3 linked regions of the Tribolium castaneum genome follow. The protein of the gene in region 1 interacts with the protein of each later gene in a pairwise test. Links are inferred from orthologs where the notes say so. Each region holds a gene or a part of one and is shown in the gene's direction. Other genes may lie near its edges. The genes, in order: elgi; Ubc4; iron-sulfur cluster assembly 2 homolog, mitochondrial.

Evidence for each region.
Region 2: the proteins of elgi (region 1) and Ubc4 interact in binary tests that used the Homo sapiens proteins (3 or more experiments, as listed by UniProt). The link is inferred for Tribolium castaneum from reciprocal best matches to the Homo sapiens genes RNF41 and UBE2K.
Region 3: the proteins of elgi (region 1) and iron-sulfur cluster assembly 2 homolog, mitochondrial interact in binary tests that used the Homo sapiens proteins (3 or more experiments, as listed by UniProt). The link is inferred for Tribolium castaneum from reciprocal best matches to the Homo sapiens genes RNF41 and ISCA2.

Annotation. Positions count from the first base shown.
Region 1 is NC_087394.1:31,068,845-31,079,729, forward strand, and holds elgi (E3 ubiquitin-protein ligase NRDP1), read left to right. Parts: upstream 1-6,619; coding exon 6,620-6,900; intron 6,901-6,950; coding exon 6,951-7,395; intron 7,396-7,441; coding exon 7,442-7,711; 3' UTR 7,712-9,225; downstream 9,226-10,885. Other genes in the region: scny (ubiquitin carboxyl-terminal hydrolase 36), read left to right, coding at 821-1,038, 1,090-1,328, 2,417-2,862, 2,922-3,197, 3,768-4,685, 4,883-5,005; THUMP domain-containing protein 1 homolog, read right to left, coding at 5,541-6,296; uncharacterized protein LOC103312325, read right to left, coding at 9,226-9,451, 9,497-9,717, 9,763-9,983, 10,028-10,151. UniProt on the Homo sapiens protein: Acts as E3 ubiquitin-protein ligase and regulates the degradation of target proteins. Polyubiquitinates MYD88. Negatively regulates MYD88-dependent production of pro-inflammatory cytokines.
Region 2 is NC_087394.1:31,290,614-31,300,837, reverse strand, and holds Ubc4 (ubiquitin-conjugating enzyme E2-22 kDa), read left to right. Parts: upstream 1-3,924; 5' UTR 3,925-4,280; coding exon 4,281-4,343; intron 4,344-4,404; coding exon of another isoform or gene 4,405-4,426; exon of another isoform or gene 4,427-4,558; intron 4,559-4,587; coding exon 4,588-4,740; intron 4,741-4,789; coding exon 4,790-4,872; intron 4,873-4,918; coding exon 4,919-5,082; intron 5,083-5,130; coding exon 5,131-5,267; 3' UTR 5,268-5,723; downstream 5,724-10,224. Other genes in the region: Prps (ribose-phosphate pyrophosphokinase 1), read right to left, coding at 38-130, 186-743, 1,300-1,365, 3,378-3,561, 3,636-3,840, 4,405-4,426; E3 ubiquitin-protein ligase RFWD3, read left to right, coding at 7,400-7,427, 7,482-9,136. UniProt on the Homo sapiens protein: Accepts ubiquitin from the E1 complex and catalyzes its covalent attachment to other proteins. In vitro, in the presence or in the absence of BRCA1-BARD1 E3 ubiquitin-protein ligase complex, catalyzes the synthesis of 'Lys-48'-linked polyubiquitin chains.
Region 3 is NC_087396.1:12,842,369-12,851,450, forward strand, and holds iron-sulfur cluster assembly 2 homolog, mitochondrial, read left to right. Parts: upstream 1-3,872; 5' UTR 3,873-3,989; coding exon 3,990-4,255; intron 4,256-4,302; coding exon 4,303-4,480; 3' UTR 4,481-4,599; downstream 4,600-9,082. Other genes in the region: uncharacterized protein LOC100142360, read left to right, coding at 1-102; uncharacterized protein Sse, read left to right, coding at 257-341, 389-640, 686-1,005, 1,057-1,181, 1,599-1,818, 1,870-2,177, 2,228-2,395, 2,638-2,780 and 1 more; protein FAM136A, read right to left, coding at 3,062-3,178, 3,224-3,442, 3,490-3,576; protein phosphatase 1 regulatory subunit 21, read right to left, coding at 4,607-4,993, 5,039-5,269, 5,321-5,629, 5,690-5,749. UniProt on the Homo sapiens protein: Involved in the maturation of mitochondrial 4Fe-4S proteins functioning late in the iron-sulfur cluster assembly pathway. May be involved in the binding of an intermediate of Fe/S cluster assembly.

The DNA of each region.
Region 1 (10,885 bases):
ATTAGTGTCGTAAAAGTATAATCAACAAATTACGTCACACACGAATCTTATCTTAAAAGGTGATAGCAATTAATTACTAGCAAGGCCCTCCTTTAGTACACAACATTTTTTAAAAAATGTACCCGTTTTTAAGGTACCCTTTTTTAACAAGTTAAAATTTTCCACAGAGGAATTCAATTTTGGACAAATTCACCTTTCAAAAATTTAATTATTAAAGTAAATAATAACAAGTAAAATTACACTGATCATTATTGCGCACAATAATTGAGTTATTAATAAAAAACTAATAAAATTAGAAACATTTGGCAATTTCCAAAAAATTCCAAAAAAAATCAAGTTGGTTAACGGCAAATTTCGGTAACCTTAACCCCTTAACAAAAACAAAAATAACCAAACCATTGAAATAAGAATCAAATGTGTGGGTGTTGAGCCTTGGCAAATATTTAATAATAAAAGACCTAAAGCAATAACAAATAACCCTCCGTAAAAATTATAGATTTGGAAAAGTACGGTTCAATACCAAAAGAGCTCGTAGTTGTCGCGCTGCCCTTGGGGCGAATTGACATGCGCACTAGTGACAACAAGCTGAAAATCGTCGTTCGGAGCAAATTCTGGTGGTGCCACTGATGTTCTAAATAAATCGCGCAATTGGCGTTATCTGATAAAAAACCGCGTCGCGCCAACTCGCCCCCGAGCCAGTGTTCGAGACTATGCTGCACCGACAGCCCCCGAGCCCCAGCTAGCACCGTTCGAAGCCAGACAATACGGTAGGTGGCCGCCACAACGCGGGGTTTCTCTGGCACGTGTAGCTGTCACAGGGATGCCGGCGTCCACCCTCGAGCCCGTGAACGCGGCTTTGCGCTCCGCCCTCACCAAGACCGACGACAGTTCTCTGGACACGCAGTTGGCGGGATCCACCAAGAAGGCCCTCCTGTCCAACATCGACTTCGAGCCGGCCGGGAGCTACCAAAGCACCGTCTTGGACAAACTCAAGTCGAAGTACATCGTGTTGAAAAGCTCGGAGACTCCGCAGCCCAGGTGAGTTTCGCCGTTTTGAGGGGCTCTTGTGATTTTTCGCTCAATCCGCAGCAAGCCTGAGGGAGACATGGGCGCGGATGAAACGCTCAAATTGGCTAGTTACGAGCTGTATCCTTTTGAAGCTGTGCAGTTAGGTTGGAGTAAATGTGACTGGTCAGTGGGGGCCGGCATGATTAACATGGGAAATACCTGTTATCTCAACTCTACGCTTCAAGCACTTTTCCACGTTCCCGCTCTTGTCAATTGGCTCATTTCTGATAAGGAACACACAGCTGAATGCCAGGACTCAGGTTTGTTCACCACAAGCATTTTATTATTTACAAAATTTTATTAAAAATAAGCTCTAAATCTAGTTGAGCAAATACAGTATGGAAAAAATCTAGTGTTATCAAGTAAAACATCAAATCTTCTAAACGGAAAATTTTATTTACATAATAATCATTTTTAACATTTAATTTAAAACACTTCTGCTCGCTGTTTACGTATTGTTTTAAAATTTCAAATAATAAAAAAAAATAATTCCAATAATATGATTAGTGTAGATGTCTATATTACCGGCAAGGTCAAAGAATCTTTCAGTACACTGGTTCTTTCGTTGATTACTATTTCTGATTTTCCTTTATTTATTTACCGTTGAAAAGAAAAGTAAAAATTAAAATTTCCTGTTTGTTGACAGTTTTCGTGGTATTGAGAATTTGAAGCGACTTTTTTTTAACAGAAATGTTACTCTCTTATCTTTAGTTGACACCACTAACAAATTTTTTCATGTTAATTTTAGTAAAAAAAATTGGAAGTTCCGGGTTTTGGTGTATATTTTGAAAAAAAATTAATTTTAATTTTATTTTTTATTTATTTTGTTACCAAAATATTGACGATTTTGTCTTAGTTATTTCTGTTCACATCTGTTTGATTAAAAAATAAACATTAATTGTTTTTGGGCTGATTACGAAAGCTCTCAATTTTGAAACTGTCATTGTGACACAAACATACTTAATTGTAAACGAGCATTACAAAAATTTTACACGGAAATTGCAAGCTGACTGGCCTTGTTATTATGTTAATTAATTTATTTATTATTAAATTATTTTATTCACTATTAAGCCGCATAAACAGAATTTCTATACACGACAATATAAAAATGTGAGAATGGCGCCAATATATTTGATCAATTAAGATAATATTGTGAATACAACTGCGCAATAACTGTTTAGCTTACCTCTAGAACTCTTATCGAAGCAATGATTAGAATTAGAAGTGGTTTTTAATGAGCAAATAAAGCAATAGCATGTGCTTTTTAATCACGAAACTTAAGACATTTCGAAATTTTTAATAAATAATTGAGTGAATTTTTTGACTGAGAGCTTCTTATGTTTTGCAGGTGGGCTGTGCATAATATGTGCAATGCGGAAGACTCTCCAAGACTCCCAACAACGTAACACAAACACAATCCGTCCTCTCCTCATCTACAACAAGCTGCGTTTGGTGTGTCGAAACCTCATCCCGGGTCGGCAAGAAGATGCGCACGAATTTCTTAGATATCTAGTGGAAGCAATGGAAAAATCCTATTTAAGTCGATTTAAAAACCATTCCGAATTTGATTCAAAAGTGAAAGAGACCACACCTCTCAATCAAATACTAGGCGGATATTTAAGATCGGCAGTGAGATGTTTGAAGTGTGGTCACGTCAGCACCACCTTCCAACACTTTCAAGATTTACTATTAGACATTAGGAAAGCTCAAACGCTCGACGAGGCGTTGGAAGGTTACTTCTCTAGGGAAAAATTGGACGATGACTCGTATCATTGTCAGTCTTGTCAGAAAAAAGTGGGTATTTGTATTCAAAAGTTTGATTTTGTTACTTATCTATGTTTTCTCTTGTCTAGGTACCTGCAACAAAACAGTTCTCCCTTGAAAGAGCCCCTATGGTTCTTTGTATACAACTCAAACGGTTTTCTGTTAGCAATAATAAAATTACTAAACATATACATTTTCGACAAAGACTGGATCTAACAAGGTATGCCAGACATCGTCCCAGTGTTCCACTGATCTATAGACTTGTTGCCTTAGTCACACATATGGGACCTACTGTTAATTGTGGCCACTACACTGCAGTTGCCCAAGCGCCGTCTGGTAATTTTTACCAGTTTGATGATAGTATGGTAAGAGTAACATTGACAAACTGACCAGTTTCCATTAAAAATTACACTATGAAATTATTGCTTCATATTTGGTGACCCAGGCACTATTAAACACTGATTAAACCTTTGTAAAATAAAGTTTTTCTAAGTAAAAAATATTAAATAAGCATCGTAAATGTGCTATCGTCAGTTTTTTAAGAAAAATGTATTTGAAGGAGATATCCTCCGACTTTCATTACGTTAACTAACATTTGATGAAAGCTAAATGTCAATTGGAGCATACATTATTTCTAATAAAATAGGTCAAGGAAAACAACAGGGTGCATTTTTTTATTCTAATAAGAATTATTTCAATAATTTATTTTATCAGTGACATACCATGTAATACAAGATCGTAAGACATGTTACAAAAAATATTATATCCCAAATACCTACAAGGTTCTGCTTATTTTTCGCCCCATAATTGTGTAATAATATGATTAGGGACAGTTATAAAACTTACGCATTCATAATACAAACATGTGTGTCTACAAAAACGTTATGTAGGGGATAATTAATTGACGAAAAATTTATTTCTCCCTTCCTTCACAGGTGCGGGTGATATCTCACCAAGCTGTGTTCAATACAAACGCATACATAATGCTGTACGAATTAGAGTCATCTCCATTTACCAAATCAAATAACGGGACAAACAACAAGATAAAACCTCCGCTTTCTCCCGAAGCAAATACTAGCAACAACACATCAAAAGCTTCACTGAACGGTATCGGTTTTACGAGCGACAAAGTCTACGGCCCCGAACTGCCCCCCGACCGAGTAGAAAAGAAAATCAACGGTGTTAACCCCACACCGGTCACTAACGGTAACGGAAATCACTCAGAGAGTTCCGGAACGAGCGACAGCGAACCGGAAAATCCGCAAAAAAGTCCACAAAAAGAAAACAAACCGGTGGCGACACCTCCGCTTCCCCCGAAAAAATCAATGCCTAGCATAAATAACGAGGAAACCGCCAAATCACCACTAATGCAAAAGAATCGGACGTTATCGCCACGCAATACTAATAGTACAACACCGATTAGTTCAACAAATGCGGAAAAGAAAGGGTCATTTCAGCCGGTTACTACGAAATTGGTTCCGTATGAGACGGACGATTCGAGTTGTTCCGACGAATCGAATCAGTCGCCACAGGATGTGGAGTATAGAGTTTCTACGAAGGCGGCAGTGGGCGATTGGAAGGTTACTTCAACTGAACCAACGACGCAGAGTAAAAGTTGGGGAGAGAAAAAACAAGATGGGACTGTTAGCGAATTGTTCAAAATGTCCCACAGTGGGTATTCGGCACCTGTTTCCTCGTGGAACGGTACTAGGTCTCAGCTAGATAAGGAAATTAGCAACGAAAGGAGAGAAGACAGAAAGAGAGCTTTGAGTGATAATTCGGACCAAGGCAAAGTCAAACATCAAAAACTGAATAACTCCTACAAGTCTAATCCTGGTTACAATCCCGTACAAGTGAGTAATTTGTTAGTTCCGATAATAGCTTCTTTATATTTTTTGAAAAGCTATTAAATATATTAAAAAATATTTTGCAAATTTAAAAATAGTTTCCTAAACTTCTTGGATAAAAATATAGAAAATTGAGTGATTTTAGCTGTCGTTTCGTATTCAAATATTTGTATGAATTGTTGTATATCGTATTTTTGTTTCAGGAATTTCACAACACTAAGAACTGGAGTCAGAACAACGGTTACAAGCCGTTTTATTCGGGCAACCGGCACCGTCGTAATTTCCACCACAAAAGCTTTCATAAAAATTACCGCTTTAGGCAGTGATTAATTTTAAGGTTGAATATTTTTACATAGGCAATTGAACTTGTATAATTGTGCATATTATGTCACCATTGTTTAGCATAACTGAATTTGTGAATTTATAATGTAAGTATTTATATTTTTAAACAAACTATAATTCCTAATTTTGATTGAAAAACCGATGTAATAAAGTAGCGATAGTATAATTAACAATGAAATCTTTTAGGAAGTGGTATTTGTTTCATTTTTTTGAGCTTAATGTTCACAGTGCATTTAAAATACTGTATTTTTTCTATTTCTTTTCCTATTTGTACAAAGATTTATTTACCATTAAGCATAAAGATATTAAACTTTTACCATATATTACTTTAATGTTTATTAACTTCTTGAAATTGACGAATGTTTTGAATTTTATGATGCAACTTTGAAATTTTAAACAATGGTAATAGTCAAACCTACACTATGTGTACTCATGTTGTAGCAATGCAACCATGTATCTGTTCTAGAACAAAACTTTGGAAATAAAATTTTTATATTAATAGAAAATTTTATTGCAACATTAATTACAATCAGCTACTTGTTCTTGACTACAAAGTGACAATAAATTATACTTTTTGTGCTTAAGATAGTCAGGTATAACACTTAAAAACGCAAACCCCTTTATCACTTCAACAATAATAGCCACTTTTGCCTCTTTAAGATCAACTTTATGATCAGGCCTCAGCTCGGACACTTTCGCTGCAATTAATTTTATGACTTCATCCCGCGAAACAACATTATTATTCCGGTGGTTGAAGATCACACAAAACGTTTGCGGGGACTCCACAAAGTGTTTCTGGGCGAGGGGCACAAATGCGTTGACAATATCACTCACATTCGCCTTGCACGTAATTTCCACAGGAATCAGTCTCAGCAAAAATTTCGTTCTTTGGGTCTTACTCCCATCAACATCTTTTATAATCGCCTCTGCTAGCTCAACCGGATTCTCCAAACTCGTCCTAATGAATAGGAAATTTTTGGCACCAGATTCTATAACCTGGAATCGTTTTTCACTCTTGTCTTGCTTCAGTTCGGATATTTCTTTAGCCAACGAGTCGTCAATGTCTTGCTCAGCTTCAGGTTCGTTGCTCTCTTGGTACAATTTGTCAGCATATTCGTTTAGTAAATTGTAAGATTCCTTAATGCAGTCCTTTTCCCTGTTGTTACAACTGCAGAGGAAGCCCCGCAAGTTCACGTCCAAGCTCAGTCTTTTGTTGGAAGTTTTTTTAAAGTAGTATTTTTTGGATTTTTGTTTGGAAACAACTGGCTTACTCATGACTACGACCCCTACAAAACTATGTTGTAATATACAATTCACCAAATAAATCGATATGTGACCACTGTTCTTTGTTAATAACACGTATTAATCCAATATTTTTTTATTTGTAAGCATAAAAAGTTAAAATAAATACGCACTTAAAAATTAGGTTAGCTGAAACATCACGCCTGACCAACCTAACAGACAAAACTTCCTAAATTTTTTGTTTCTGTGTCAGACATTTTGTTGATGGGTGACATTTGTCACATATGATTTTACAATTTATAAATAAATCGCAGTGCTAAAATCCGTGCAAATTGTGATGGGTCGTTACTGTTAAAATGGGCTTTGATATTAATAGGTTTCAAGGAGATGTAGATGAGGAATTGGTGTGCCCCATTTGTTCGGGAGTACTGGAGGACCCCTTGCAGGTGTGTTTACTTATTTTTTTAATGGAAAAAGTCTTACTGGTTTTGCAGGCACCTGTGTGCGAGCATGCATTTTGCAAGTCCTGCATAACCGAATGGATCACAAGACAGCCCACATGCCCCGTGGACCGACAAAGTGTCACATCAGCGCAACTGCGCCCAGTGCCCCGAATTTTACGAAACTTGCTTTCTAGGTAATCAAAAAGTCTGAAATGAAACCGTTCGATTCAATATTTTGTTCCAGACTGTGTATAAATTGTGATAACGCTCAGTATGGCTGTACGCGTGTATTAAAATTAGACTCTCTCTCGAACCACCTTGAAGAATGCGAACATAATCCTAAGAGACCTTTACCGTGTGAGAAGGGCTGTGGTTTAGTGATTCCTAAAGATGAGTTGAAAGACCACAATTGCGTGAAAGAACTGCGAGCGCTGATACAGACCCAGCAGCAGAAAATGAACGACTTCCAGCAGGAAATCACCGAGCAGCGCTTCCTAATCAACGAGCAAAAGCGCGAAATGCAGCTGCTGAAGGAGTTCATGAGGGCCATGAGGATATCGAACCCTTCAATGAGGGCAATAGCTGATGCAATGGAGAGAGATGAAGTCTTAAGGTGGAGCAACTTTCTCCAAAGGGCGCGAGTCACCCGATGGGGAGGGATGATCTCGACACCAGATGAAGTTCTTCAAGTAGGTTCAATCAACAAGTGGCGAAATTTTCATAATTTCCTTCCAGAGAATGATTAGAAGGACGTTAACTGAGATGGGGTGCCCCAACCACATATTAGACGATCTAATGGAAAATTGTCACGAGAGGAGGTGGCCCCCCGGCTTGAGCTCGCTGGAGACCAGGCAAAACAATAGGAGACAATACGAAAACTATGTTTGTAAAAGAGTACCGGGCAAGCAGGCTGTGCTGGTACTGGCGTGCGACAATACGCATATGGGCGAAGACATGATGGTAGAGCCAGGTTTAGTTATGATTTTTGCTCACGGTATAGAGTAACCCTCTTTGTTTTTATTTTTTTTAATTACATTCCTTTTAAATACATTAATTTACATTAAGTTTAATCATAATCTTTCTCACTGCTTTATTATAAAATCTGGGGTCTGTAAGTGCCACAAATTGTTCCGTTCTGGTGGTGATGCAGTCAATTTTATCAATTAGAATTCGTAAAATTAGAAAATTGACAGGAAGTGCACTAATGATACAGGATTATTCAGCTTGAACAAATTAACTGTTTTGTAACTTACTGCAATGTGCCATTATTCATGAACCAAAAGTAAATTAAGGCTGTGGTCTACTTTATTAAAACATTTTCACCCGTTTACGTATAAATAGCTTTAATGGGTCATTTAAACACCGGTAAAAATGAAACTAATTCGCCGCTTGAGGGGCTTTAAACGTCGTTTGTAGAAAATTTAATTCTCTTCAACTGTTTTTGTTACGTTTTTCTTGTGTTTTTGATTGTATTCGCATGTAAATTATAAATTTAATAAATTATTCATGCACTTTAAAAAATAATAATAATGTAATTTATACTTTCAATGAGAGATCTAACCATTAATAATTATTGACTGTGTCTAAACTCCCGGGAGCGTCACGAATATTGAAAGTGACGTCATCAACGACCAGGATTTTTAATTGTTTTATTGATTTTTTGTATTTTACACATAATTTTTGTTGTAAATATTATAGCAATCCTTAAATTTTCCAATTGGAGGAGAAGCCAATCAGTCAAGTCTTTAATAACGATTGCAAGGCCAAATTTAAAAAATACTTACATTTTATTTTTTATTACACAAAAAGTTTGTGTCTTCGAGCATCATATATATATGATGAGTGCCTATAATAATAGGGAGAATTTTTTTGCAGACCAGTGTTATTGAACTTACTTTTTGCAATCAAGAAATTATTATAAACGTTGACTGCATCATCAATTTTGTTCCAGAACGTGTTCATTTGTCGATTTTATAATGCGTAAAGTCATCAATAATTCCTGCCGCCAGGATAATTGATTACTTTTGCATTTTCAAAGAATTTGCTGTTAATATTGATTTTTCAACAATAACGGAAACGCTGACGCAGACTTGAATGTTGGTGGATGTGCGGTTTTCCCGTTTTGTTTCGTTTTAGTTATGTATAGTTTAATGATCTGACATTTGATCTCAAAAATTCACAACAAAGTCGTTCCTACATCCGATCGGATTTGGTCTGACATAACACTAGTCACGTCAGAAATGTGATTTAATTTCTAAATTTTTTGAATGGAGGTATGGAAATATCAAACACTAAATTCTACTCGAAGCTCCCCTACGTTTTGAGGACTAGCAAAGGAACTCAAAGAGCTAAATACATTTGTGTAGCTTCTTGCAGTTAATTTTTGTTAGGGTTTTGGGGGGTGCGATGTTTATTTATTTTGTAATGTGATTAATATTGAGGCTTAAATGTACTTAACTTCTGTTGGGCATTTTGTAGTTCTTATGTGCTGCCAATTCTTGTAATAAACAAGTAAATTTTTATATGTTAATGTGATTACGACCCCGTTTGTAAAAGTAAAACACGAATTCGGACACGAGAAATAATAACGCGATTAAAACACCGCCTAAAAACAGTAAAATTGCGGATCCTACGTGTTCACGACCGGCACTTGAATACCCAGGATTCAAGTTGAGAGTTGAAACAGGCCGTAAATTTGATTTGAGAATTTTTTGCAATATTCCAGACTCGTCCAAAGCAATTACACTGAAAAACAATGATATAACGTATTCCAACAATCTTAAATATTACTGTTTGTTTATGTTTTTTTTCCACGAATTATTACGCAGCGTCAGAAAACCTTGGGTGTATCTCACATTCAGTTTCATTGTTTGCAAGGATAGAATTTCGTCGAGGCCCAAATTATTCACCATGTACTGCTGTAATGAAATTTCAGGGCCCACACCGATCCTGTCGTTTATATCCAATTTTTCAAATAGAGCATTTAAGTCAGAGACGTATTCTGTTACAAGCTGAAACAGTTGTTGCAAAGTCGTTCACATAAACTCAGAAATTACAAATCTTTCTTTGAATTGTTTTATCTCGCTCCGGGTGCACTCAGGACTGATCAAGTGAAGTTTATCGATTCTGAGGTTCTGTAAATTAGCGTTAGTTTCGACGTTTTCCACCAGAATTGAAGTTATAGCAGCCGCAAAACCGGTGTACAATAAATACGCCATCAGATATCCCAGGAAAAATATCAAGCAACTGGCAAAACCGCTCGGTGTGTGACTTAGGCCTTTAAATTTTGGTTCCGTAAGGACAAATTTTGAATTTTTTTACCTTGTTGGCACGCAGCGGCAATGGCCCAAAGTGTTATCTCAACCCACGTCCATGTTTCGTAACTTGGTCGCATCATTGCGTATTTTCGGGTTGAGATTCGTAAACATACAGCCAGAAGGATCATTATTGCAAAGAAAACCAACCACAGTGAGCCGGCAAACGTTAAAATGAATATATCTTTGGTGAATCGCAACTTGCTGGGTTTGTAAACCAATATCAAACTACAATTGAGTAACGCATGCAAGGATTTTTCACTGGTTTAAATAACGTACTTGCTCTTTATGACTGGGTATAACTCGGTTACATTTGAGGGCAAATTCTCAGAATGTGGGTGGCAGATTACTAAATCAATTTCGTTGTTGAAAAGTTGAGTTAAATTGTTTATTACTTTGAATTCAGTGCTGGAATTAAAAATTCATTGGCTCTATCTAAAGTGTCATTTTTCTCGATAAAGAAAACAGTTTAATACTCCTCTCAATGCACTAAGGATTAGGGATGTTTTACCTGATATTTAAGGCTTCTCGAAAATTTTCAATTATGTCAATACTGTAACCTTCGATCATTGTTTGATTATCGTTGATCGTCATCCGACAATCGAGAAAATCAAACGTTGATGCTTTTTCTGCAAACACTCCAATTTTTAGAGTCGTGTTTAATACATGTTCGTCTTCGGTTGCAAAAATATACTTATACTCGAACCAAACTTGGCTCGAGTTGTCCACATTTTCAAGAACTTCAATAGAGGCCTTATTCACTTTTTTGTGAGCTATGAAAAATTGAATAGCGTCTCTGGATTGAACCCAAGGAAGGGACACAATCAAGCAGAGAGCAATGATACGCATTTTTGCGAAGTGATTG
Region 2 (10,224 bases), about 220 kb from region 1:
ACCTAACACTTTTATTATTTAAAATAATAAAAATGGGTTAATAAGGAACATTCGAGAATAGGTACGATACTGATTCGCCATTGTGCGTCCTCCTCACCGCCTCAGCGAACATCATGGACACATCAATGCACTAAAAAACCAAACAATCATCAAACTTGTGATTTGTGCCAAATCGCACAACTCACCTGGATTTTCGAACAATCCTTCATATGCCCGTCTTGTGGAATCGTATTAGTGACAACCACAGCCTCAAAGCACGCGTTATTAATCCTAGTTATGGCAGGTCCGGAGAAAATCCCATGCGTCAAAATCGCGTAGACTTTCGTAGCCCCAGCTTCGGTCAACTTCTCGGCTGCGTGGCAGATCGTGCCGCAAGTGTCGGCCATATCGTCGACCAGAATAGCAACCCTGTCTTTCACGTCTCCGACGAGCACCATCGAGGCCACCTCGTTGGCCTTCTTCCTCTCCTTGTGGATGAGGGCGAACTCGACGTTGAGTCTGTCGGCGATGGAGGTGACCCTCTTGGCGCCCCCGGCGTCCGGCGACACTATTATACTGTTCCGCCACTCGACAATGTTCTCCTTGATCCATTTCAACACCGCCGGTTCGGCGTACAAATTATCCACCGGGATGTCGAAGAAGCCCTGGATTTGCGACGCGTGCAAGTCCATGGTGATGATGTGATCGGCCCCCGCCACCGAGAGCATGTTCGCGACCAGTTTGGCCGAAATTGGGGCCCGACTCTGTTGAGCAAAGGTTCAAATTGGCATGCATTGGGCCGAGGGCGAGGGACCTAACATGTTAAAAGCTAAACAAAATTCCCAAGCCACTATCTAGCTAAATTTTCAATTAGTAAAATGACATGTCGGGTTAGTTAATAAGTCTTCGGTATTATTATTATTATCGCATGGTTTCAAGATCATTACATCATTTTTCGGATGATAATTTTTACCCAACAATAAACAGATAAACAAAAGTTGACTTCTGACTCCTGAATGTTTGTTACACGATAATAATGACTATTTCGTCAATGTAAAATTGTTTCACAACAGTACGTTTCCCCTTCGTTTTGTAATCCTGGCATGCAGTTCCGGGAATCATATACAGCGTGTCGCAATTACGCGCCCATTTATGATTTTTTTATTATTATTTGTTAATTGCGACGTATGAACGCTGTGTTTTGTATCAGTGTTATTAACAACGTACAAAGCTAGTCTAACTCTGGCGTAAAAACATGATTTTCAGACGACACTTTCCCAATAAGCCCCTGCAACATTCACAAAATTTAACAATTTTTACCCTGAATTTCCATTCGATTGACTTCCATTTTTCCACGTTGCGTTCGACGTCATTTTTATTCGCAGGCTAAAATAATCTCGTATCAGGTAAGTGTGTATGTGAATGTACGAAGGTGTAAATCTACTTTATTCTAATCGAATGATTTCAGTTAAAATTAAATTTTATTTATGGGAACTACGTTGCATAAGAGAAAAAATTGGAAATTTGTCAACAGAAACATTGAGAATACGAAAAACAGGTGCAATTATAAATAAAAATACACTTTACATAAGTTTCTTTCAACTTTTTAGAAAAAACTTCAATCTCTGTCACGTTAGAAAAAGTCAAGAATCATAATAATTAGAGTTTAATTATTATCACGATAGTGTAAGTAGTTCAACATTATTACATTACTTGATCTACTCTTGAAATATAAAACTATTTAAAGCAATGCATTTTGCTAAACATTCCACTATTATCAGTTTATAAACACACATGAACCCGAACTTATTGACGTATTTCCGACCATTTCAACTATTTTTAAGTTATGCTAATTAGTAATAGATATACAGAATCTTAATTAATTAAGAGAACTGTGGCTAGTTCCTCGCTTAGACGTCATTGAAAGCAAAAGTGGTTTTGCTACACAGATAAGGAACCAATAAAATATTTTTGTTCAAATTACTCAATAAATTGTAATAAACAAATATTTGAGGGGGAAAACAATTAGGGCAGGCCAGTTGGGACCTGCACTAAGAACACCCCGAATTAAAATGATAATATTTTAATGTTACTTAAAATTGCACTTGAAAACTGCCACAAGCAAAGAATTCCATTTACCTGGAACTCTTATTATTTCAAAAAATTACTGAAAGAGATAAAGATATTAAAAAAATCGTGATCAAGTGTATTGTAAATTTTTTTGTAAACGTATGATTTCTCTAAATTCGTTTGCTTAGTCCTGTGACAATTCAAGATAAAGGCGGTTGGGTAGAGCAGTAGAATGATGCACATGAAAAATAGTTTGTTAAAGAAAAATTTGGTCTTTTGAAGGAAAAGTAACACGTAATGTAATTTAGACACGTTTTGAAATCATTATTTCAGTAATTAAAAAAAATTTAATAATTTTTCTCGAAATCTGCTCTTCAACTGTAGACTCCCCACTAGTTTTTTTTATCTTGTTATTATAATACATAGTACCAATCAATCATTTGAATTTATAATTAGAGTAAGTTTTTATGGCTTCTTTTCTTGTATGGCAAGGCTGATTATTATAATTAATAAAACTGAAGAGTCAGTTAATCAAATTTCGAACGGTAATATTTAATTAGACCACGTTTTTGCCTCTAGATTACCAACTACATAAGAAAAAAACGCATACATTCAAATGAGTACATGTTGACAAAAAATCTATTGGCATTATTGAGCTATTGGTCATTCTTCTAATTTGTTTCAGGTGATGGCTAGGCATGGAAGTGTATATTATTTGTATAAAATTTTGAATTTGATATTTAAATACTGGCAAACCTTAATCACACAATCACTTAGTATTTATTATGATAAGAAATAGACTTATTTTTCCACTTTTGTGTCAAGAAAAACATCAATAAAATCTAAAAGTACACAATAATTGTAGTAATAAAAAGTAACAAATTAAAGACTGTCTTTGTTAAATGGATATAGCAAAATCACTTTTAATAGTGCAGTTACATTTATTATGCCTTTGCTAATATTCTAGTAAAAAGCCTTTATGACTATTTAACACATCATAAATCATATATTTCTTAAGCAAAGCAAACATGTTTGAAATACTTAAGTCGCGGCAGTGGCGCCCTCTCAACCACGTGCTCCTTTTGCCGACCTAACGGTAAACAAATTGTTTCAAATTAATAAACTACGTGGTCGGATTGAACTTGTCCAATTATTAAACCAGATGCTTGACTAATTTGTCAGGTCAATAGGAAAAACCACAACCCTAATTGTCCTAAAAACCAAAACTACGGTCTCCACAAACCCGCTTGCAGATGTATACAAAGTCACGTGGCGTCTAGGTTATCTACACATGTGCAGGTACACAATTGGAGCAATTGTGCACTCACCTTGTCCTTCTTGTCTTGCCGAGCGTACGGGAAGCATGGAATGACTGCAGTGACTCTGCTCGCGGACGCAATTTTGCACGCATTTATCATGATGAGGAGTTCCATCAGGTTGTCGTTAACTTCCCCGCTGCCCGACTGCACGATGTACACGTCTTCCCCACGGACGGACTCCCCAATTTCCACGCTAAAATAAAATAATAATAATAAGTCGCAATTTAAGCCAAGTCAATAAGCAAATAATTTCCAAAGCCCACTCACCATGTTTCCAAGTTGCTGAATTTCTTCGTAACCACTTTGCCCAAGTCGATCCCCAGCCGGTCCACGATCCTCTGGGCCAGGTCGGGGTGCGAGGTCCCGCTGAAGACTTTAATGTTCGGCATTCTGCTCTGGAGGATCAACGAAGACTTTTCCAACTTTGCCCGCAACAAGCTTTTAGCACGTACGGGCTGGGAAACGGGCATAACTGCAAAACGCGCAGCCAATCAGAAGCGGGGTCTAATGTTATCGGCAAACAACGCTCCAGAATGATAAACCTTGTGACGAAATACTCCCTGCTTATCGAAGATTTCCGTCGAAAATATCGCCGAAATTGTCAACAGAAATCGCGCGGGGGGGCCCTTACGTCATCGTTGCAGCAGTCCGAGGGAAAATCCCCGAATATTTGCGAGATTTCGGCCGATTTGGCGCGCGCGTAAATTCCGTAAAGTTGGCTATAATGCTATTGAAAACAAGTGACATTTCTTCATTTAGCATTTCATAATTTGCCTAACTTCAGTGAGAAATTAAAAGTGTGAAAATCGATCTTTAGCCAGTGTATTTTTTACTTTTGTCAACAAATCGCTATTTTTTAGAGCCACGGTTTATCTGTTATGTTTTACTGCATTTAGGAACTTCCCCACCAGAATGGCTAACATAGCAGCACAAAGGATACGACGAGAGTTTAAAGAGGTTATTAAAAGTGAAGAGGTAGGAACTTCGCAAACACTGTTTTTCTGTTATGTCATTCTAACTCCTAAACGCCACTTACCGTTCTCGGTTTCCTCGGACATTTCGAATTTTCACACTTGAAATTGTCAGTACACAACGTAAAATATTGATTACTGAAAAATGCCCCCTGCCATAAATTCAAAGCGAAGGGGTTATCACTCCAACGTCATTTCGTAACAATCAACAAACTTGGCTAATACGATCGTGCTTGTTTGAAATTTAGGTAGCAAAATGTGCCATCAAAGTGGAACTCTTAAATGATAGTTATACAGAGCTCAAAGGCGAGATCACGGGCCCCCCGGACACGGCCTACGAAGGGGGCACCTTCGTATTAGAGATTAAAGTACCTGAAACATACCCCTTCAATCCACCCAAGGTACGTTTCAACATAACCAGGAAAAAAAAGACTAAGAGTTTTGTAACAGGTCAGGTTCATTACGAAGATATGGCACCCGAATATATCATCAGTAACGGGCGCTATCTGCTTAGACATTTTAAAGGACCAATGGTGCTTTCTATTACGTGGTAGTATTTGTTATTAAATGAAATTCTAGGGCTGCAGCTATGACGCTGAGGACGGTGTTGTTGTCGCTCCAAGCGCTGCTCTCAGCTGCGGAGCCCGATGACCCACAGGACGCCGTGGTGGCGAAGCAGTTTAAGGAAAATATAGAAATGTTTCAAATGACGGCCAGACATTGGACAAATGTTTACGCAGGCGGTAATTTATGCAGTTTGCAATTAGGACGGCGTGACGCTCTGTTTGCAGGTCCCCATGTAAATAAAGAATGTGACGATAAAATAAAAAGGCTAGTTGATATGGGAGTGGAGGAGCACCAGGCGCGGGTCGCTTTGTCGTCGTATAACTGGGATATAGAAAGAGCAACTGAACAGTTATTTAGTTAGTGAACTATTTTAATCCGCCATTTTACTATATTCTCTCTACACTTTTCCAACAGTTGGTTATGAAACGCAGTTTCATTTTCTACCCAATAGATTACTGACTTAAATTATTTTGAAGGTGTACAAGATGAATAAAAGGATTGTTTGCATTTACCTTATGTCTCAGTAATCACTATACGAAAGTCTTGTTTTGGCTCTTGCGAACTAATTTCAACTTTTGTCAATATTGGTGTTTGAAATTTATTGATGTTACTGATGCTTATCGTTAGTTCTTTCGAGTACAAAGTCTTTCAATTAATTACGGTTTATTCTTGCTAGTGAAAACCACCAGATTAGTTTTTTAGCACTTCAAGTATGGTAATTGAATGAAATGCTTTGTATAACCACTTTCCAATTAGTTACTGTTTTTATTTGTAAATCGGCGATTGAATACTGTTAAAATAAAATTTTAATCTTGAATATACAGGCACTGAGGTGAGTTACAACCCTAAGACAATCCACGTCCATTTGAAACTCAAATACTCCATGAAAATAAAAGTTGCGCATTAACTCTTAATTTATGCACTGATTATGCAACAGATTTACATAAGTAGCACCACGAAAGGTCGAGACTCCTTCGGTACTATTTCAAAATAGATTTAAATTCAATTACAATCACCTATTATTAGTCCAGTCATTGAATAATTTCAATGGTCCAGTCAAATAAGCCTGTAAATCGAAATGTTCAAAAGCTCGCTTTTTTTATATAAGTTACATGGAGCAGTTAAAAACGTTTAGACAAAGAATTTTTTAGTTGAAGAAACGAAATTAAAGCGTTTTTTACAGATTATTCAAAATCGCTGAAAGCTAGAAAAAAAAGTTTTAAACAAAAATTGTAAAGCCGAAAATTTTGCATAAAAATGTTCACTTGACTGTTTTTGATATTAATATTAACAGAAAGTTAGGGCGGTTAAAATAATATACATATACTGTAAAATCTTGTCATAACACTTGAAAAAAAGGTTGTTTTTTGTTAGTATTTTGGCATCGCTGCGAACATCTTTAGCTTTTTTTGCAAAATTTTTATGAAAACCTATTCAAATTACACCAAAAATTAAGGGTTTCTAGTCTTTTATAAGCAAGAATTCCTAGGAAATCTGGGCTTATTTTCGACCAAAAAAGAAGAAAAATTGGCGGAAAATGTATGGTTTTTCCCGTTATCTTAATTTTTTTATCTAATTAACATGTTTTAGAAATTTTTCGAAAAAACGAAGATTTTCGGTAGTTTTTATTCGAAAAAAAAAATCAGGTAGATACATTCTGTGTTTTTGGTGGCAACTTAAAACATATATAACAGGACATAAGTGTAAAAACCTAAACCCGTCCTGGCTAAATCAGGACGGTTGGTAACCTTAGATTAAAAGTAATTTGTTAATTTATCATTTTTAGAAATATGCTGCGATTTCACCTCGAGCAGATTTTGCGGTAATTTTATATTGTAATAACTGTGAGTGTTCCAGATATTGAAATGATTCTTACATGAAAAACTTATTTAAGTTATTAACTTCATTTCATATCGAAAAATTCATTACACAGGACGTTACAAGAAAATGTAATTTTTAGTTTCTTTTTATCAAAAGTCAACCTTGTGTAAATACGTAAAACTGCATTATTTACGGTGGAATCTTTTACAAAAAAAATAAATTTCTAGCTTTATCCAGAAAGAAGATACGGGATGTAATCGCAAAATTTGTCCAATGTTAGGTTTTTGTAAATTTTTACTAAAAAGTCTTTTTGACCCCTTCTCGGGAGTTGGAACAACCTTTGTGACTCCACAGTAATATAAAAAACGCAAGTTTTTTCCAACTTTTCGATTTAAAGGCTTATTTGACTGCCAGCAGGGAGGAAGTTCATAATCGTGAATTATTTGTATTTTTTATTTTTATCAGTTATCAGATGAGTTATTTTTCACTTAGTGGTTACGAAAAATCCGCAAAAACATTTCCGTGTGGTTATTTTTGCGTAAAAATCTTATGCAAGGACGTGAAGGTCGTTGACGTTGAAACGTCCTTGAGTTTGACGTCGCCATTTGACATTGACAGGATAGTTTTTTGAGGTTAGGTTGTAAATTTATTTGAAAAAAAACCCAAAAAGTAATGAACTTGGATGACTACAACCACGGAGGTAACCATAAACTCGTTATTCCGTGCGAATTATCACACAAGTCAACCGTTTCAGAAAATGAGATGGAAGTTGAAGGCTCTGAGGACTACCCCTTGCAGATAATCTCCCCGCGCGTGGAGGAGATCCACCCCTTAGCATTAGTAGCAATAAACGTAGATAATAACGAGCCCCCCGCCACCTACAACGACGTGGGGTTCCCCCTAGTGCCACAAGCCAACGAAATCGAAAGACTGTCCCCCACCGAGTCAGTGGCGAGCACCCCCCAGACCTTCGACGAGGAGAGCAACCAGTCGCGAAAGCGCACCTTCGAGGACGAGGAGCGCGAGGAGGACGGCTCCGTGTGCCCCATTTGCCTGGACGAGTGGACGAACACGGGCCCCCATCGGATATGCGCCCTCAAGTGCGGGCACCTGTTCGGTGAGCAGTGCATCACCCGGTGGCTGAACCAGAACTCGCGCAAAACGTGCCCGACCTGCAAGGAGAAGGCGCGCCGCCACGACATTCGCTACATTTACGCCAAAAAACTAACAGCAATTGATACAACTGAACTGGACAATATCAAAAAACAGCTGGACTCGGTGACCGAACAGCGCAACAAGTTCCAGACTGAGTTGGCCACGTGCGCCTACCGCGAGCAGTTGCTGAGGCAGGAGATCGCCCAGCTCAAGACGCAACTGAGGCAGAACAATGTTCCTACTTTCAACCAGCCCATGGTGGAGCGCGTCAAGCTGTACATGGACAAGGCGATGGAGATTTGCAAATTCGGCGGAAGCCGGGTTTTTGACGCGCGCTGCGAGCTGGACCTGCTCATGGCTTCGATGAAGTCGCCCACGAATTTGTTCGCCGGGTTCGGCTTGAAAAAAATAAACATTTCGGGGTACAGAACAATCGCGTTCATTCCAGTCCATACGTTGCAAATTAGAGACATTTGTTTCCACAAGGAACAGAACTGGGTGCTTACAGCGTCCATGGACAAGACCTTTAAGGTCATAAACAACCACGAGAATTCGGTTGTCCACCAATTCACCCATCAAATGCCCCTCTGGTCATGCTGTTGGGACGAAAACAACCCATACGAGCTATACGTAGGGACGCAAGCTGGGTCGGTTATAAAATACGACATTCGGCAATTAACCGAGGCCGTTTGTACCTTTTCCATAGAAGGGGACATGTCTCCGGTGGTTTCAGTCGCGTCGATCCCGGCAGCCCCGGGCGAAGCCCTGGCGCAAGGGGGCGTCGTGTCCTGCAAGTTGAACTCGCTCTGGCTGTACGAGAACGCGAATGGGGAGTACAAGAGACACCCGATTTCCTTAGAGGGACCATTCGTTTCAATGAAATACCAAACAAACACAAAGCAATTGTTAGTGTCTTCTAGGCCCAATAGTCGAATTACGTACGCGAGGCATACTTTAAGTACCTTGGCGAGGAATGAGGGGAAAATTGACTGCAATATTCTGCACACGTTTCAAGGGGGCGGCATGCAGAAGTTGCTATCAAAGTCGTGTTTTTTGTCGCATACGAGTGATTACGTTGCTGCCCACCAGGAAAATTGCAAGAGTGTGTTCTTGTGGAGCATCAATACGGGGCAAAAGGTTTGCTCCGTGACGGCGCACGAAAGTGTTTTCGATCTGAAAGGGTTCCAGAATCAAAATGGTAGTTTTCTGGTTTCGTTGACTGATAAAAAACTCGAGTTTTTCAAATTTGCTTAGGCGGTTTTTAAAGTTTAAGTATTAAGTATTAGGTACACTCTTCAATTTTGTTACGGATCACATTTTGACCATACGATTTTCAATAAATTATTTATTTTTTTTACACATCGGCAAGTTTTAATCCTCCCTGTAGTCTCCCGGTGTCTTTACAGCACCGTGTTGTGATCACAGTGCCTTGTTTTTATGGAATTACATGAACAAATTAAAAAAAATGTAGGTATTGTAGATTACTACTATAAGGGCCCCTTCAGCACACAACACCTTTTAAGCATTTTGACCTTGTTTTCAAAGGTATGTTTAAGAAAAGCAAAACTATATGGGCTTGTTCGGCACACACCATTTTTTATCAGATCTACCCCCGTTTTTCAAGGTACCTTTGTTAAAAGTTAAAATTCGCTTTTTGCCCTGTTTTTCTATTGGGCCACTTGAGCACAAAAATGAATACGGTTTCGTCCAAACAAATTCGGAATGTGATCCCTCATGAGAGTCCACAAAGTGGACTAGTGCGTAGCGAATTCACAACCCTGTTTTTAAAGGTCTATTTAAAAAGTAAATACTTTAATGATTTTGCCCTAATTTTCTAAGGTAGAAGGTATGCTCAAACTCATGTAGGTAAAAAAAGTCAATTAAAAGCAAATAGAATTAACAAAAAAAATCAAGAAAAAATGGCTATAGATGCCTGGAAAAATAATAAGGGTATAGCGCTGAAAATTTCTGAATATCATTAAAATATGTAGAAAATCACACACCTCAATTAAATAAAAAAATGAAGCGAAATTCTTGTTTACCTACAGCAATAACTGAAATTCGTAAATTACTATTGGAATTAATCATACAAAAACAAATTGATCGAATTTTTGGTCTCCTTCTGGGGCCCGTGAAAACTAACCACAACCAAACTGTGAATAAAACGGAAACTTAAAATAACATTTTGCAACTTCGGTCAAATGTCAAAGTGGACTATTGCTACCTAAACGAGGTGTATATGACCACATCGAAAGTAAATAATAAGATAGCAAAATTAGCATCTTTAATTATATCAATAGAGCATATTTGGAACAAACTAATTAAAGAAAATGTTACAATAA
Region 3 (9,082 bases), on another chromosome or scaffold:
GAGGCGACAAGTCTGGATAGTTTTGACGAAATGTTTTTAAAGCCCACAAATGTGTCAGGTTTATGTTTTGGTTCGTTTTTGGATAAGTTGTGTCCTAATTAACATGTATTTAATCTTTAATAAATTTTTTTGGAAAAAATGAATTTTGATTTACCGCCAAATTTCAAGATTCAGCGCACGTTTGTTGCACTGTCAAGTGTCAAACTTGACGTCTTTTTTAAATTTGTTTTCAGTTAGAACACCGGTGTTTTTTAGAATGGAAAACAAGGAAAACATCCCAACAAAAAAAATCTTGAGGCAATTGCCCCCTCTTCATTATCCCTCCGGTTTATTCTATCAAAGTAAGCTAACACCAATTTGGTCCTAACCTAAATTTTGATTGTCACAGGATTGGAAAGAATTAAAGCCTGCAAGTGCCTCAAAAGCAACGAATTGCAAGCAATACATCATCTAGTCGAGTCTCATGTGCCAAGTTTGCGGCTTAAAACCGCCATACGCTACGAGAAAACTCTATCTTCAGTCACAGACAATGTAAAGTTATTGTCTTTGGACAAGAGTTATGTCGCCTCGAGTTGCCCGAACACAGAAATCAAGAAGAACATCAGTAGTTTACTCAGCAAAATTGAAGAAATGCCGCCTGGTAACAATTAATAAATAACTGAGTGTTTTATTTACCCTCTTGCAGAATGGACTTTGGTTCAAATTACACCACAATTTACTTGCAAAGCGAACGTGGAAATAGCCGCAGATGAACATCACACAAACCCATTGTACATTTCTGTGTTCAACTGTGGTCCAAACCAACCCAAACCGTTTTGTGTCAGTATTAGTGCACCTCATGACAGTGTCAAGGGGGCTCCTGTTGAACTAGCCAAAGAAATGCACTCCATATTTGCAGACAACAAAGAACTCTTACTGAAATCATCCAAACAAAAGCATTTTGCTAACGTTTCGCAAAAACATCATTACTATTGCCAGAGAAAGTCAATTGATGACAGGCTAGAAGTAAGAATTTTTATTGTAAATTATTCTTTGGTCGTAACTAATTCATTCTAGATGGTTGTCAGGGACTTGAGTAACTTGTATTTGAAAGAGTGGAAGTGTTTGTTTATGGGAAAATACATCAACAGTGATTTAGAAAACAGAATACGGAAACGAATTGAAGATTTTTTTAGAACAGAGTAAGTCACTTAATCTCCAAGGGAAGAAAATTAAGTTTTATTCCAAACAAACATTGGCTGAAGTGCGAGAAATATTTTCAATTTTAAGTGGATTAGATTGTTTTTGGGCTAGCAACTCGATTTATTTTGCGGGATTTTGTCGAAACGAAATAACATATTTACCAAGAAGGATCTGAGTTACATTATTTAATTTATTTAAACTAAATTATTCCAAGAAATTTGGTCGCGATAATGATGTAAATAAAAATATCAAAATAACAACAATAATTACAGCCACTCCTGAGTGATTTCGCTCATACTTGGGCCAAGAATTTCAGGAAATTTTGCCGAAAAATTTGGTCAAAATTTTTTGAAATCGTACGTAAATTTATTACTTGATAGTTCTCAAACAAAACTGGATATCTATGTTATTTGTAGATTTCCGTGGCTTAAATTGGATGAGAAAACCAAAGTTATTGTGCAGTATTTAATAAAGAGTTATTATTATTTAAAAATGACTGAATTACGGAGCGCTTTACAATTCCTTTTCCCGGAAAAAAATGTACAAAGAAGTGTTGGCCAGTTCATTAGGGACTTGTTGGAGGAATTTAAGCTTTTCCAAGAGAAACGGCACCCTTTAATTTTAATTATTGATGATGTGAGTTAATTAAAATCACCAGTTTTTTTTCTATTATCATTTTCTACGCAGAGCCTAGACATTTACCCTTGGGAAATGATGGAAATCTTATCAGAAACGACAGTTTCGAGACTACCATCCCTACATTTGGCTTATGCCTTATATCAAGAGCACAAAGACAGTATGGAGGGTGGTTTTAAAATTTTAAAAAATCCACAAAGTGGCACATATCTCATTAACCCAGACTTAGACTTGGTTAATATGCAAAATCGGATAGAAAGTTTCTGTGATTATTGGTTACCCACATGGGAGGGGATTACCGGTGCGAGGCCGACGAGTGAACAGTTTGTAAAACTGCTCTTATCAGGAGACGTTTTCTCGTAATTGGAAATAATAATTTTGAAATTGGAAAACTTAAGTTCTTTTGTAGTTATAACGGACATGGGAGCGGTTCGCATTTTTTCTCCGCAACTAACGTTGAGAAGATTCGGATAAATGCTGTTGTTGTCTTGTTCGGTTGTGGCAGCACACGCTTGACGAGGCTAGGGCCCCAAAGTGAAATGGCCACGGCCTCTCATGTGTATTTAATTGCTTGCAGGTATTTTCCAACTTTTATTTTATTAAATTTGATTACACCCTCGGGCTGCGCTAGGGAGAAGCATAACGTAGGAGATGAAACGAGATACAAAATTGTTGGATTTTCTGAACTTAAAAAATACGACAAATCGTTTTAAATTCAACCAATTCACTAATTATTTGGGTCGTTTCATTTCCTAATCTTAGACATCCGCAGGCTGCGCCCGCGGAGCAGCGAAATTGTAATAAATCTTATTTTTAAAGCCCTTGTACTGTGGGAATGCTATGGGAGGTCACAGATCTGGACACTGATATTTTGGCGACTGAATTTTTGAGTTACTGGATACCGTGTTCAAAAGTCCATTGGAAACACCTGGATAAGGCGAAATGGAAGAAAGGCGAAAAAGGTAAACAAAATGTGAAAATCGCACACGGCGTTAATTGTTTTGTAGTAAATTTTTCAAAACAACACTTTGATCCGCCACCCACTTGCCACACTCACGAGCCAGAGTTGTTGAAAGCCCTAAGTGCCGTAAAAAAATCATCAGAGATAAACTTCTACGCAACCCGAGCGGCATGTGTGGCACGGGGAATCCCCGTTAAAATAGCCACAAATTAATTTTTTTAACATGTTTTATTATTCAAGTGTAACTAAAAACAACAACCACTATATATAGTTTGCTCGACCTCACTTATTTTTTCCTAGTTCAGATTTCATTCGTTTTAAAAGCGAGGGCATGTATGCAATTTGTTTATCAACACAGTTTTTGGCACACGTTTCAAACAGCGCTGTATATTTACTAACCTAAAAAACGTAATATATTTTTGCAAGTTTGGCAAATTGTTTTACTTCAGCTTCCGAAGGATTAGGCCCCATTTTCACCCGAATGTCGTCGTTACAGTCCATAACGCACCTTTGTAGCTTATTTTGGAGCTGTTCTAGCTCTCTTTGGACGTAATTCTGGGCATAGTTCACGGACGAGGCGCAGTTTTCGACGCATTTTTGAACACTTTCGAGTGAGATTTCCCGGTTGTCGCAGCATTTCGCAGCGCAGCGATGCATGTCGGCCTGGAAAGCTGAATTTTCCGAATTTGGTCACAAATTATATACAGTACCTGCATTTTGCGCAAATACTCCAAATCGAGCTCGTTGACCATTTTGGTCATTTCTTGCTCAATTCTCTGTCTCTGCTGCTCGACCATTTTTGATTTGTGCGAGAATTCCGGTCTTGTGATAAGAAAAATTAAAAACGTGAATTTTGTGAGGTTATGCTAACCTAACCTAAATGGCACCAACTGTCGCAGATTTACAGGTTACTGTAAAATTGTACTTTGACTTCCGACACCTAGATATCGCTGCCCACATTTTTTTTATTTTTTTGTATAGTTTAAAAAATTTTATAAAATCTGTAATTCACAGCAGAGAATCGAGCAAGAAGTGAGTAAATGACCAAAATAGTCAACGAGCTCGATTTGTATACTGTATAAAATCTGCGACCAAATTCGGAAAATTCAGCTTTCCAGGCCGGCATTTCTAGTAATTTTTGGTTTTGATGCAACTGTTGGCAAGAGCCGCTTAACTGTCAAATTATGGCACTGCCAAAATAATCTAACCTATGAAAATGTCAGGGTTAGTGAGACGGTTCTATCCGTTTAAAATTAATAGTGTGCGTAATTTTTTATCCCGAAATTATTCAAAACCTGTAATTAAACCTTTGGAGCACATAAAACCGGAATTAATTATCACTGACACTTGCGTCGAGCGTTTGAAAAATATCAGTAAAAATTCGGATGAGTTCTTAAGAGTGAGTGTAGATGGGGGCGGTTGCTCGGGCTTCCAGTATAAATTTGACCTAGACTCGAAAATTAATGAAGACGATAAGTGAGTGAGCACCGATTATGTATTTTTAGCTACAAATGATTTTGCAGAATATTTGAAAAAAATGGAGCTAAAGTTGTGATTGATGAAACGTCATTGGACTTTGTTAGAGGAGCGACGGTCGACTACCGGGAAGAACTAATTAAATCTTCCTTCAGGATTGTCAATAACCCGTTAGCTGAGCAAGGGTGTTCCTGTGGGTCGTCTTTTGCTGTCAGACTGGATTAAACAGATTAGTGCAATAACTGTATTAGACTTTTTTGCAAATATGTAAATAAATACAGGTCGATTAAACAAACCGCATAATTTATACAGAGTAAATAATGTAAATAAATTATTAAATTAAAGGAATGTTTACTTTTTGCTCGCAATTTTATGTTTGAGTGCTTGGATTTCGTCGCACTGTTTCGTGATCTTATCATTTTGGGCGGCTATATGTTCAGTCATTGCATCAAGCTGACTCTTGTAATTTTCTATAGTGGTAAGCAACTCTTCATTGCTCTTCTCTAGATTGCCTTCTATTTCCTTGTTTACCACAGTCAGATGTTCTAATCTTGAATATAAGGCTTGATTTTCACCCCACAAAGTTTTGGTTTCTGAGAAGGCCATTTGCTTGGCTTGCAACAATTCGCCCAATTGAGATTCGTAATATTCAGTCAACCGTTCGTTTGATTGTGGTTTGGAACGCAGGACTTCGCATTCAGAGCGCCACCTCTCAGCTTCCTCTTTCCAAAAAGTGACCTAAAATGCACTTTATAGCTTTCCGAATTTTTTGAAGAGAAATACCTCATTCTGGTCTTCACTGGATTTATTAGACGCAACATCAGAATTTAGCACATCCATGTGCTGCTCCTCGACCTTCTTTTCGACTTCATATTTCGCCCTTTTAAGCTTGGCAATGTCCTCTAAATATTTCGTTTCCTTCTGGTGATATTCTTTCTCACAGTTATCTAATCTTTTCTCCAACCATGCGATTCTCTCCTTGCAATCGCTCAGCTCGTACTCCTTATCAGCCATCTACAACACGCCTAAAAATAACCAGCAACAGTAGCAAATATAAATATTTACACTGCTAACAAGTTGGGCATTTTCTAGAATTTTTTTCTGCAACTCCTCGTCCAGGACACTAGTGTCTGATTGAATGATGTTCTCGGTGCTTTTATTTTTCCCTTTTTTAACGTGACTGTTCACTTGCAATTCTTGTTGCAACACTGATATCCGCTTAGTCAACTGCTCGTTTCGGAAAGTTAGGCTTTCCATTTCTTGATCATGTTTCCGTATCTTCTGCTCGTGTTTCTTAATTGTGTCTTTTAATTCATTGTTTTTCGCCTGTTCCTCCAAAACGGCTTTTTTCAAGACCGTGGCTTGCGACCTCACCTGCAAAAATTGGAGATGTCAGCGGATCCGCCCCACTAATTTTAAATTAAAATAATTCACTTTGGAGTATTCTGTGGCGAGCTTTTGGTACTTTGCTTCCAAATCGCCTGGTTTGTCCATTTCTAGGCGAATTATTACATAAATCGGCCCAATTATTTATTTTCTAATCACATATCTTAGGTTAGTTTATTTTGACAATTGAATGACACTACTGACGTTTTGGTTTGACACTATAAAATTTACAGATCACTGTAACTTTGTACTTATCAATAATTGCATAGATGTCGCTCAAAATTTAATTTTTTATTTTTCATTAAAAATTAAAATAAAAATTCAAAGGCAAAGCTGTTTATAGTATAAATGTTTTTTATAAATTGGTTATAAATAATCTCAAATCAACTCTGCATTCTGTTGCCTTCTTCAAAGGAATGGTTTAATACTAGTTTTTTTTTTACTGAACATACTAAAATTTTCCGTATATACCAACTTGGCAATAACAACGTATACCCACCTATTGTATAAAACTTTCAAAGTTTCACTTTCCTAGACTTTTAAAATTTGTGTCGCTCATTTTTGTCACCCCAAGAAGTGCAACCCCTTCATTTCTATGACTGATTATTTCGAAAATATATCGGACGCGTCGGCACGAATTGATAGATTATTCGGGGCTTTTATCCCGGCTTTTTCACGTCGTGTCCAATCAAAAGGCACAATTTCGGATAATTACTCAAGATTCTTTAATTTTTGTGCTTATCCACTTCCCACACATCCTCCATAAATCACCAACCACCGTTTAAATCGTCCCCTTGCCGTGAAATCGGCTATTATATAAAATTTCACGCAATTTCATGTGCAATAAATCACGTTATCCGTAAAAGCATCCCCTAAAAAGATCTCGAAGTGGACCAGTATAAGTGCCCTTTGGGAATATTACTTGACGGACGTTATACCTACCTGAAGGTAGAAAAGACATGTGTTTGCGAATTAAAACCCATTTGGGTGCTTAATGTGTGTAGATAGTATTAAATTATACAGGTGGAACGACAGAGCATGAAGGAAATAGGTTTGATTGACTATTTTAGCGGCTTGTCGAGGTCTATAAAGCTCGAGTAATTCTACAATGGTTTATAGCGCCGCAAGTGCAAATTTAAATCTTACACATGACATTTATGCACTGTATAAAACTATTCATTTCGCAACAAATTATTTGCAACTCGTAAAACGAAACTAGTTTTTGCGCTACCTATTAAAATTGTTCGCAATTGCGAAATTGTCGAAAGCATGAAGTAATCTCCTTGTAATCGAAGTTATAAACTTGGAAACGCTTCCGCTCCTTGCATGCAAGTAAATTCTGCATCGAATGACAAAAAGCTTAAAGGACACGTAATTAGTCATGCGGTCTTAACCTGAGGCGAGATGGGTACCTGAAATTTTTTTGTGTAAATAATTTTTTATGTATATTTACCTGCACCCACAGTGTGCCAATATTGATCCAATTTTAGGTACACTGTCCTGATGTATAATCCTTCTTTTGAGCTTTTTATAATTTGCGATGATTCTCTTATTGAGTTCGAAAGCTTTCATCGAGCTTTTTATTCGGTGGCTGTCTTGCACCATGAAATCGTGAAAACCTTTTTAAACGCACCGTGTCGATTAAAATAAATTGCGTGGGAAGCGACCCTTTTCCCGTTTTAGAAAAACGTAAGATGAAATAAATCTAACATAAAAAAAATGGTTGAATCAATTGTATTACTTGGGTCGTTTGCGCTTTTATTAGACAAATTTTTATATCAAAGTACCACAGGATGTTAATACGAGTATTAAAAAGATTCCATAATATCGTTAAATCAGTAAGTTTCGTTAAGTAGATTAATTGTACCATGTGTGACTTTAAATTTTGAGTTGGCAACACTGAAAACACAGAGACAGAAGTTTGTGGAAAAAATATCTCTCCAAGGATAAACAGACAAATAAACTAATTTATAATACCAAAACTTAAACAATTCCTAACTTAATAAAGTCTATCTTAAACATAAACAAATTTGCTTCAACTTAAAAAAAATTGCAACAACTGCGAATGAATAATGTACTTAAAAAACATGTTATCTGTCAATATTAGATTGTTGAATTCTTGTTTCCATAATTTTCAAAATTATTTTTGTCTGTTTATAGTCCATATAAAACGTTATAACGTGCCCACAAAAAATAGGAGCAGAAAATTGTTTGTGGAAGCAAAAAATAATACAAAGAATGTCGTTTAGTAGCAACAAATTTCTTGCAGGAGCAAAAAATAGCTTGTGGTAATAAAACTGGAGAAAATTCACTAAAAATTTAAGTATCTTTATATACGCAGTTTATTTTTTGTTGAATTGTTTGAAGAACTATTGTATTCACAAAAAAATGGCGTAAAAAATTTGCTTCAATAGCAAAAACAGGGGAGAAAATAGATTGTGAGAGAAAAAATGGCATAAAAATTAGATGCAGCAGCAAAAAATGACGCAAAAAGTTGGAAAAAATAGTTTCTGAGGGCAAAACATGGTACAACAAATTGCTTATAGCAGCAAAAAATTAAGAAAAAAAAGCTTTAAGAGCAAAAAAATGGCTTAGTAATAAAACCTGGAGCAAATTCACTAAAAATTTAAATATCTCAAAATATACAGTTTTTGCAAAACTTTTATATGGTGTGATTAACAGCTCTTATTTTCTGAATCAAGTGAACATTATAGTAGTTATAGAAAATATCAACCGAAATTCTCTTACATAATTTCTAACCTAATAAATACACTGTAAAGGTTAAAATTTTAGAATATTTTTTTTCGTAATTTATACTGTTTTGTATAAGTGTTATGATTGTCTTAATTTAGTCAGGGTTTTTTCTTTTTTGTATTTCTTCTTATATATTTTATTGTAGGTATTGTTTCTATATTGTAAGGACTACTTGTCTATTTATGGTAGCGCTCAGCTCCGTTTGCGTGTGCGTCATCTGACATTTCTGTCACTACGTTTACATAGCAGGGGCATAGCGGTGACAAACTATCAAATATTTTTTGAGGTTACGAAGTGTTTAAATTATGAGTTGTTACAAAAAATACAGATTCACAAAACAAGAACTAATAAACGCAGAATCAAAAACCTAACGAAACGCAAATCACAAAACACAATAAACGAACAGAAAATACTTGCGATTAACACCGATAACACTTTCGACAACCATGCGATGACGTCTATAATTTACTGTCAATGTCAGTTTGACAAATTCGTGACACTTGATGGTGTTGTCGAAGTGCATATGTAAATTAATGTTCAAGGATACCACCCTTAGACACCCCTTAGTTGTTTAAATTTGCATTGTTTTTGATAATTTTTTTACAGCTTTGTGTTGGTAATGAAAAAATGAAATTGATGACGCACACGCAAACCGAGCTGACCGCCACTATAGTATTATATTGTCCA